Tribolium castaneum: one gene and its partners. The protein of the gene in region 2 purifies or fractionates together with the protein of the main gene of each other region. This does not show direct contact. Links are inferred from orthologs where the notes say so. Each region holds a gene or a part of one and is shown on either strand. Other genes may lie near its edges. The genes, in order: hpo, mts and Tap42.

Region 1 (3,058 bases), on a different chromosome or scaffold from region 2:
AGGACCAGACTTGTTGCATCGCGAAGGATTCAACTCGTATAAATATGCTCACACTGAACTAATCCCTCCATTTTGTGCCTTTAATTGGTAACGTATATGTATATATTTTATTGACAACGGTTACTTGTAGTCTTAGTTTTACAATTTCTAAAATATATTTTACACTAACATATTGTAACAGTGCCTTTCACATTTACTCTAGTGTTTAAGTGCTTATTGTATCACCACCAATTGGTACAGCTGTGATTAAGAATCAGAAATTTTGGACCGTTTACAGGTGTTATTAGCTGCAAAATTCACTTCACGAAGCAATACTCAACGCAATCAGTCTTGTGGCTACTAACACTGATTTTTCATTTGTGGGCCAACCAAGCGAAATGTTAGCCGATGAGGGAGCGAATCTTAATTTCAATCAAGCTTTCAGTAAGGAGAAAGGAGATGCCGCTTGATTGGCCTACTGTTTTATTGTGAAATTATTGTATTAGTTTATAATTGTAAATATATATTGGAAATATTAGTTATGAATTTTATTTGATCAAAAAATATGGTTACACTCGTACTTAATCCTAGGTACTACTAAAGGCACAGCAAGCGTACTTATCGTACAGGTTATAACCTAGAGTTAAAATGACTGTACAAAAATAACACTGATAAAAGCTCAAACTTGTCGTGAAGGCAATTTTATTAAAATTAATGATTAACTAAAATGTTTAACTGGTGCATCCGGTATGGCAAAACATTTTAATCTAGTGAAATAAAATTGAGAATAACATATTAAAAACTGTACGTAACTGATTAAGTACAATAAGTAGGAACACATCTTGTTTCCTCACCACGATATTCGGCTCAAAAAGCAACAAAGATAAACTAAATGGCAAGTATTAAAAAACCTAACTTTTTGAGCACCATATTCCATTGCAACGAGCCAACAGTTCAGAAATTCTGTTGTCGCTTCCGCTTCGTATCCATTGCATCTAAAATCGGCTGTCTTTTAATCTGATACCTCCTACGAAGTTCGTCTATTTCTCTCTCCATATCTAAATCTAATTTGGCCATCCTCTGTTGCAACTCCTCGAAACTCAAAAACTTCAACTGAAAAAACAACCACTCAAACCCAATTAATTCACCACACATATGAAATACCCACAAATTCAAAATCACCATCTGAGAAAGGCCGATGAAATTGTGCTTTTTGTTCTTGAGGTTGGGCCTGTTGAGGCGACGGCACTTGGTTTAACTGTACATGAAAATGACTTTGGAAACGTTGCTCGTCAGGCACGATTTCGGGACCATCAAGCGTCGTAGGCGTCACGACGCCGTTACCCTAAATTTGCAATAAACAATTTATCAATTGATAACTAATTAATTGTTACTTACTTCCGCCTCCTTTTTGTCAAAGTGCTCCAAAAACAACGGCCGGTATTTCTTGCCGCCTTGACTCGAACCCGTGTCATGCCCTGAAATGGTTTTGCTATGCAACCAACATTACAGAAACATGCACGATTTCAATCACGACGAAAAACACTCATACACGACTATTTTTAAACACGTTGCGAATGTTTTTTTTATACATTCAGCCGTTTGAGATAAAAGATACAACGAGTCAGTTTAAGACCTAACCGCAAAATGATTATAATTTTTGAAATTATTTAAATTAACTGGTGATATCGTGTTTGTGCTTAATTTTGTATTCAATGTTACTGTGTGATTGCATTTACAAATAAAATTAAAAATACATAATCTACTATTTCTTGTCCAAGTAACCTTTATTCTGAGCTTTTTTGGAATTCTATAAATTATAACTGATAATGATAACTCATTTTGTATTAGTTTTTCTACAACTATTTTCTACAATACTGTTATCGATATTCTTTTATAATTCATTCAGTTTCTAATTTATCCTTGTCTCAAGCGTAGAATAATAAAAAAGAAGTACGTGATTCCACTTTATTTATTGCACAAACTGTGGACGTAATTTTTTCATTTCAATACTTTTAAGACGATTTGAGCACAAACATTTGTGCATTCAAGAGTTTTTATTGAAGTTTCGGTTTTATTTCCTCTCAGTACTTCCACATTTTTCAAGACATTTTTAGAGAATAGTTGGACTCACAAATGTTTTTATAATAACAGAGAAACTTGTACATTTTGTAGAAACTCATTAAATTAAAAATGTTATTTTCCACATTTCCTTTGATATCACCTGGTTAAAAAATTTAGTCACAGTGATTTAATGCAAATTGCAGTCAGGCAATTCACAAAAAATATTTCAAGGTTTTGCACTTTATATCGATAGATTTATTAATTTTTCATCAAATAACTCAATTAGATTTTCTTCTGCTTATCTTGAGAGATAACAAGGTGGAAGTCTTATTATTTAGCAAGTTTTGCAGTGAAAACTTTGCTAATTGCTAATAACTATATTTTTAAAACACTATTACGAATTTATACAGTTTTTTTTAATACCTTAACTAATTTATATAATTAATGCAAGCTGATTATGTTAATTGTTATTGTCATTGTCAACAATTGTCATTGTTAATCACGAATAACTGATATTCTTCAATGGGCGTTAATTAATACAATTATTAAATTAAAGTAACAGTTTTATTTATCGGTACAGGCAAAATCTATTTCATTTTTGCAGCATCTGTGTCAAAGTCATACAAAATTCGGCGGTGACTGTAAGTTTTAAAAGCTCTTAAGTTAAGTAAGTTAAGCTCTTAAGTTAGTTAAACTAAGTTTAGTTTTGTTTAGTGATGGGTGATATATAATACGCAAATAGCTAACAAATACGTTTCATGTTTAAAAATTACAGAAAAACTCTTACATTGGTTTAATGTTACAATTGCCAGTTGATAAAAAAAGAGACACTTTTTACAGTCAGACTCTGTTATTTGGTTATTTCGATCCGTTTATTTACGAAGTAGAAGAAGTAGAAGTAGAGTAGAAGTAGAAGTAGAAGAAGTAGCAATTTCTAAGAAATATTTTGACATTTTGTCGTTTATACCGATAAATGCTCATATTTTTTTACACAAAATTACAAAATACGATTGAT
Region 2 (2,410 bases):
TGATAGTCGAAAAAAAAATTGAAACCAGTCGAACGTGAAGTAATTGCTTTCAAGGTCCCACGTCAATCTATTTAGCTTCCAAACAATTTATCGGATGGAAATCTCGAGCGTTTGTCACCCCAAACACCCTTAATTATAATGAATTCATCACATTGCGACCTTGACCCGATTCTGGTTTATCTTGGAGTTGCTCTGGATAATTCACATTCTTGCGGAAAATTTATTACGGGAACAATAATTTCGCCAAGGAAAGTTTGCCGGTCGGTATTTTTAGATATTTATGAGTATTAAATCAGTCCGGTCTACTAAGCTGGTAATACCTGTTTGGTAAATCTTCAAACTCATGTTAATTAAAATTTTAAATTCATCCAAGAGTGATTTATTACGATTGCGGTGCAACTTTTTCTTTTTTTCGGTGAAACGCGTGAAAATCTTCGTTCCGTTTTTAATATAGCAGACGGAAGCATTCTTCCTGTTTCCTATTAGAAAAATGATAGAACGCTGGGGAAAATCGAATCAATACAAGCGAATTGGCCAAAAAACAAGCTCCCGTTTTGTTTATTTTGGCGAGTAATCGAGTTGTCGACGAAGGAAATACATTTTCAGGATAGAAAAACGGAACAGTGTGTGGGGAAACTGTTAAAATATTTGATAAACAAAATAAACACATGTTACTTGTTTTCAAAGTGGGTCAGGTGACTACTGTTTTATTAAAGTGGCTGCTTATCTAATTACTTAATAATGAATTTTACGCAAATAACAAAAAAATAAGCAAAATATTCCGTTCTTATTCATGTTTTTTTTTATTTTCTCATACAAAAAAACATACAATACAATTAAAAACTATTAATTTCAAATTGATTCAACTTTGCCATCGAATTTTTTTTGTGGAATTGATCGTGAGTGTGTATAATATTTTAGGTTCCTCATGAGGGGCCAATGTGCGACCTTTTGTGGTCGGACCCCGACGATCGCGGGGGCTGGGGTATTTCCCCCCGAGGGGCTGGTTACACCTTCGGTCAGGACATTTCCGAGACTTTCAATCATTCGAACGGTTTGACATTAGTTTCGCGTGCCCATCAGCTAGTTATGGAAGGTTACAATTGGTGTCACGACCGCAACGTCGTCACCATCTTTAGCGCCCCCAATTACTGTTACCGTTGCGGTAACCAAGCGGCTATCATGGAACTAGATGATGCCCTCAAATATTCATTGTAAGATGATGGTAGTTTTCGTGGTGATTTGGTTTTAATTGAATTGGTTACAGCTTACAATTTGACCCAGCACCTCGTCGTGGGGAACCCCACGTGACGCGCAGGACACCCGATTACTTCTTGTAATTCTTATATTTGTCAATCGCAATATCATAAACTTGCTTAGATATATTGTATTTGTTAACAAAAAAATGTAGCGTACAAATGACGCAGTCTGAAAGAGAACAAGTTCTTTTCTGCGCCCAGTTCCCATACTAATAATTTAACTGAAAGGGGGGCGAAACGAGCTTTTTTCTGTATACTGTTTTGTTAAATTATTATCAAATTCGAGGAGTACTGAGGTTTGGTAGGTTTGCCCTATTCGCGACCAAAATTATTATACATAAACTACAAGGTAGGTATGCATGTCCTAGTTATATACTCAGTGTTTTTAATTAAAAAAGTGCAGTTTCTTTCTTTATATTTGTGTAAAAACGTTCAGTCCGTTTTTTCTATACATTGTGTGATATTGTGTACAGGGTGTTTGCCCCCTGTGTATGAAATTACCTGAATTCAACAAACAAAACTGCGTTCGGCTATGGCTATAATCTCGTTCATTTAATAACATTAATTGTGTTTAAGACTGTACATTTGGTTTTCTGTGAAGTAAAAATTATTTCTAACCGGCTCTTTCATTGTCACCCCATCTCGTAACCTTTTCTCACCTAATTAATATTAATATTCCTCTCGAAAACTGCTCAATCATTATGTTTGTTGGGATATTTTATAAACAAGTTAAATCATTTACATAATGATATTTTATGCTGATACGAGCGAAAGAAGAATTCAGTTTTTATCCAGCTGTTATCACACCATGTCCACACTCAAGGTAAGCCACAGCCACATCTTGTAACCACTTGTAATCCCAGTGTAGTATTTGAGCGGTTTCGGGTCCGAATTTTCCTCGGAAGACCCCAGATGCCCCAACTCACTCCCGAAAGGGCAAAACAGCCCACAAAAGTGCCCATATGGGTTGTACGCCGAGCAATTGTCCGGGAGCGCCTTTACGGCACCCAGATGCGAAAACAGGAGGAGTTGGTTGTATAGAATCCGACCATCGGTGGGACACAAGCCCTTTTCGCCCTTTCCAGGGGTCAATGTTACGCACAACTGGACGGAAACAGAGCCCGACCCTAATCAGGTAAAAACCGCCACAA
Region 3 (3,502 bases), on a different chromosome or scaffold from region 2:
CTCACTATCGAACTCTACAATTTTCTTAAGGGAAAAGTACAAAATTGCGAAATTTTGGGCGTTGATATTGACCCAACCTTAGTGGAAAGAGCTAACGAAAAAAACCAAAACAAAGAGAACATACAGTTCCGTTGTTTAGACTTTATGAGTGATAAAAGCCTAATTAAAGATTATTTAAAAAAACGGAAATTAGCGAAATTCGACGCTGTTTTTTGCTTCTCTATAACAATGTGGATTCACCTAAATTATGGTGATGACGGCCTGATACGTTTTTTGAACGAAATTTGTGATTTAGGGGACTTTGTTATAATAGAACCGCAACCGTGGAAATGTTATAGAAGTGCCGTCAAACGTTTGAAACTTAGTGATGCAACGTTTCCTCTCTTTAAGGAATTGCAGATAACGCACGATGTTGAAAATAAGATTGAACAACACATTTTAACTAGTTGTAAAGCAGTGAAACTGTACGAGAGCGAACGTAGCGAGTGGGGCAGGAAATTGCAAATTTTCAAGTGCCCTCCAGTTAATTGAAGTCTTATTTTTATACAATAAATGACAAAACGACGCAAAATTGTTTATTTGAAAGGTCACAACCAAAGTTTAGACATTTATTCTAAAAATACAAATAACTAACTCCGTGCCTAACTCCTATTCGCCCTATTTCCCCACCCCCTCCTGTGTTCGTCCTTAAACTCATCCATCCTCCGCATTCTCTCAATGTACTCTGGATCGTCACTCTCGACGATTTTTTCCTTTTCTTCTGCTTCCTTCTCTTCGCAGTTTAACTCCACCCCTGCCAAAGCAGCTTGCTGCAGGCTCATGGGACCAGTTGGTGGTTTAGTAGGGTCAGGAAAAATCCCGTCTTTGACCCTCTTATCATAAAATTCTTGAACCGTCATCGTCGGCAAGGAAGGATATCCGGCGCCAAAAACCGCCTTCTGGACCTCATCTTTTGTGATAATTATGGGCTTGAGTGGGGTTACTGGTCTTTTTGGCTCCGGTTTCTTCTCATCCTTTTTCACATTAGCCATGTATTCCAGTATTGGTTTTTCCATTTCTATGCTGTTCAGTTCGTCTACGGCTTCATGGATGAAGGACTTGAGCATAGTTAGGAAGTAGTCCCTTTTGATTTCTTCATCAGCATGCTCATTTTCCATGTTCGTTTTTAAATCGGCGAGTTTCGACTTCAACTCCTTTTGTTCTTTGTACCTTTGTATTTTGTTTGCCCTCGTGTTTACCGATACTGTGATTTCCTCCAGTTCAGTCTGTGGCTTCTTTTGTTCCTTCTTTTCGGTAAAGTCGTAGTTACTTAAACCGTAATCGTTGCATCTGCTCAAAAAATCCTTAAAGTAAATTTCGGCAACGTTTATGATTTCTTTACGTTCACCACTGGTTAATTTTAAACTTAGGGAACCTAGCAGTGCTGGAAGGAGGAAATACTGTAGGTCGTTTGTTGCCACTTCTTCAATCCCTTCATTGGTGCTAAAAATTCCGGCAAATGACACCAAACGAGTGGCTTGCTCGAAAAGACTCATTGCCTTTTTTACGTTGCTCTAAAATCAGGGACTTTAAGATTTAACACAAAATCAGCGAACGCAATTACCTGGACTGGGGGGCTGTTTGTAGGTTCATTGCTGTTGCAGATTGAGTTGTATAAATCCAAACCTTGGTTAAATAAAGTGGGAAGGTTCGTTTCGTCAGGTTCATTAGAATTTGCCATATTCACTTTTTCTAATTTAGATTGTGAGCTATCATTCTATAAATAACAAATATTGTACACAAAACACCTGTCACGAAGAAGTGTCAAAACGCAGTGCAACCAACGAAATATAAAGATAAATTGAATTACTTCTATTGTTTTATTCTAAATAAAGCACATTTTACCAATTTTGCGATAAAATGTGGTCATTTGAACTGCGTTTTGCCTCAAATTATTTTTTAGTTTTTCTATGTTGGCGACCATGAAACATGAAGTTATTTTATTGGCAACATTGACACTTTTCATTTTAGTGCATTGTCAACACTGGATTTTTAGATTTGTTATATTGGCAACATTGTGTCATTAATTTTTCTTTAGTTGGCGACACTTATAATTTTGTTTTTACTCTGGTGACAACACTGTTAGTTCAACGACCTCGGTGAAATGAAAAACCGGATGTTTATATTCATTTATTGATTCCAAAAGTAATCTTCTCGATACATTAATACAACTAAACAAACATAATTGTGTGGCCTACAAAATTTACAAACTTAAATACGATTTAAATAAAAAAGCGCCTAAAGAAATTTATTAACAACATTCACAAATTTTGCATCATAAAATAGTGAGTTAAAAATAGTCACGTTTTAAGTGTCACTTGTTTCACTTTTAGCTTTTTTCGAATCGGGTGCACCATCACTGTTCATGTTATTCTTGTGTCTGATAATTCGTTTCGCTTTAAGATAAGAAAGAGTGTCTTTACTGCTCTGTTTCGGTAAGTCACTAATATCTGGTTTCAACAATGACGCGCTAGTCACAGCTTGTTCGGTAAACTCCGAATTAACAACACCTTCATTTGATGGTTTTAGGGCGAAATTGCCTTGTGATTCTGAATTTGATTCCCCAGTTTCATCTGATTGGTCACTTGTTATCTTGCCCATTGGTGGAACGTAATCCTCATCTTCGTCTTCCATCATTTCGTCGTCCATGAATTTATCCTCTTTCTCCATAAGCGCTCGCTCTGTTAGTTCACCTAAAAAAACATTTTAACAATTTAAACGAAAAAACAAAAATAAATCATACCGTTTTGAGTTGGGAATATAACATCTGGTAGTATGTCCAAATCTTTTCCAGCTTCCTTCATTAGCGACTGGATTAAAAGTGAAATATCTTCTCTTTTTTTGGTTACAGTAATTTCTTCAAACCAAGTTTTCAAGTGTAAAATAGGTATGTGATAATCTTTAATTGGGTCCTAAAACGATTTGTTACTTACGCTCTTTAAAATAGTTTCGGTTACAACTTACATTAAAGAATTGTTCGACATATTGTAACAAATACAATCCACAGTCCGTAAAATTAGTTTGTTGAGGAACTTTCGGACAAGCACCTTTGATGATATCCTTCGTAAATATTTTTTCCTCGTTGAGCTTTGCTTTGTATTCACATGTTAAGTAGTCCCGAAGTGTGGCTACAACTCTACTGCGACTTGCCCCCGCCAAAGAATCGAATATTAGAATGCAAGGCCTAAAAACAATAAACAATTGAAAAATAGATAAAAAAGTTTGCATAACAGCTCTAACCATTAATAATTGGGCAACACAATTTTTAGATACTAAATAAGTTTCAATTTGAAGTGTATATTTCGCTATAATTAATGTATTGCGACATAGGTGGCAACTCTGAATTTTTAGCAATATTTTTATGCTGACTGATGGCAATCTTTAATTTTTTAACGTTCTACGTTTGGCAACACTGAATTGCAACATACACTTGGCAACCTTAGGTGGCAACTCTGAATTTTTA

What was found.
Region 1: the proteins of mts (region 2) and hpo purify together in Drosophila melanogaster (affinity purification with western blotting; 3 studies listed by BioGRID, with this or other methods). This does not show direct contact. The link is inferred for Tribolium castaneum from reciprocal best matches to the Drosophila melanogaster genes mts and hpo.
Region 3: the proteins of mts (region 2) and Tap42 purify together in Drosophila melanogaster (affinity purification with western blotting; 3 studies listed by BioGRID, with this or other methods). This does not show direct contact. The link is inferred for Tribolium castaneum from reciprocal best matches to the Drosophila melanogaster genes mts and Tap42.

The regions. Positions count from the first base shown.
Region 1 is NC_087403.1:7,367,173-7,370,230, forward strand, and holds the end of hpo (serine/threonine-protein kinase 3), read right to left. Parts: intron 1,509-3,058; exon of another isoform or gene 1,472-1,508; coding exon of another isoform or gene 1,458-1,471; coding exon 1,378-1,457; intron 1,325-1,377; coding exon 1,148-1,324; intron 1,093-1,147; coding exon 934-1,092; 3' UTR 513-933; downstream 1-512. UniProt on the Drosophila melanogaster protein: Plays a key role in the Hippo/SWH (Sav/Wts/Hpo) signaling pathway, a signaling pathway that plays a pivotal role in organ size control and tumor suppression by restricting proliferation and promoting apoptosis.
Region 2 is NC_087399.1:659,156-661,565, forward strand, and holds the end of mts (serine/threonine-protein phosphatase 2A catalytic subunit beta isoform), read left to right. Parts: intron 1-921; coding exon 922-1,214; intron 1,215-1,267; coding exon 1,268-1,340; 3' UTR 1,341-1,876; downstream 1,877-2,410. Other genes in the region: hgo (homogentisate 1,2-dioxygenase), read left to right, coding at 2,005-2,082, 2,128-2,394.
Region 3 is NC_087398.1:9,399,508-9,403,009, reverse strand, and holds Tap42 (immunoglobulin-binding protein 1), read right to left. Parts: upstream 1,907-3,502; 5' UTR 1,721-1,906; coding exon 1,604-1,720; intron 1,554-1,603; coding exon 642-1,553; 3' UTR 563-641; downstream 1-562. Other genes in the region: probable RNA methyltransferase CG11342, read left to right, coding at 1-531; uncharacterized protein LOC659719, read right to left, coding at 2,347-2,732, 2,783-2,951, 3,004-3,223.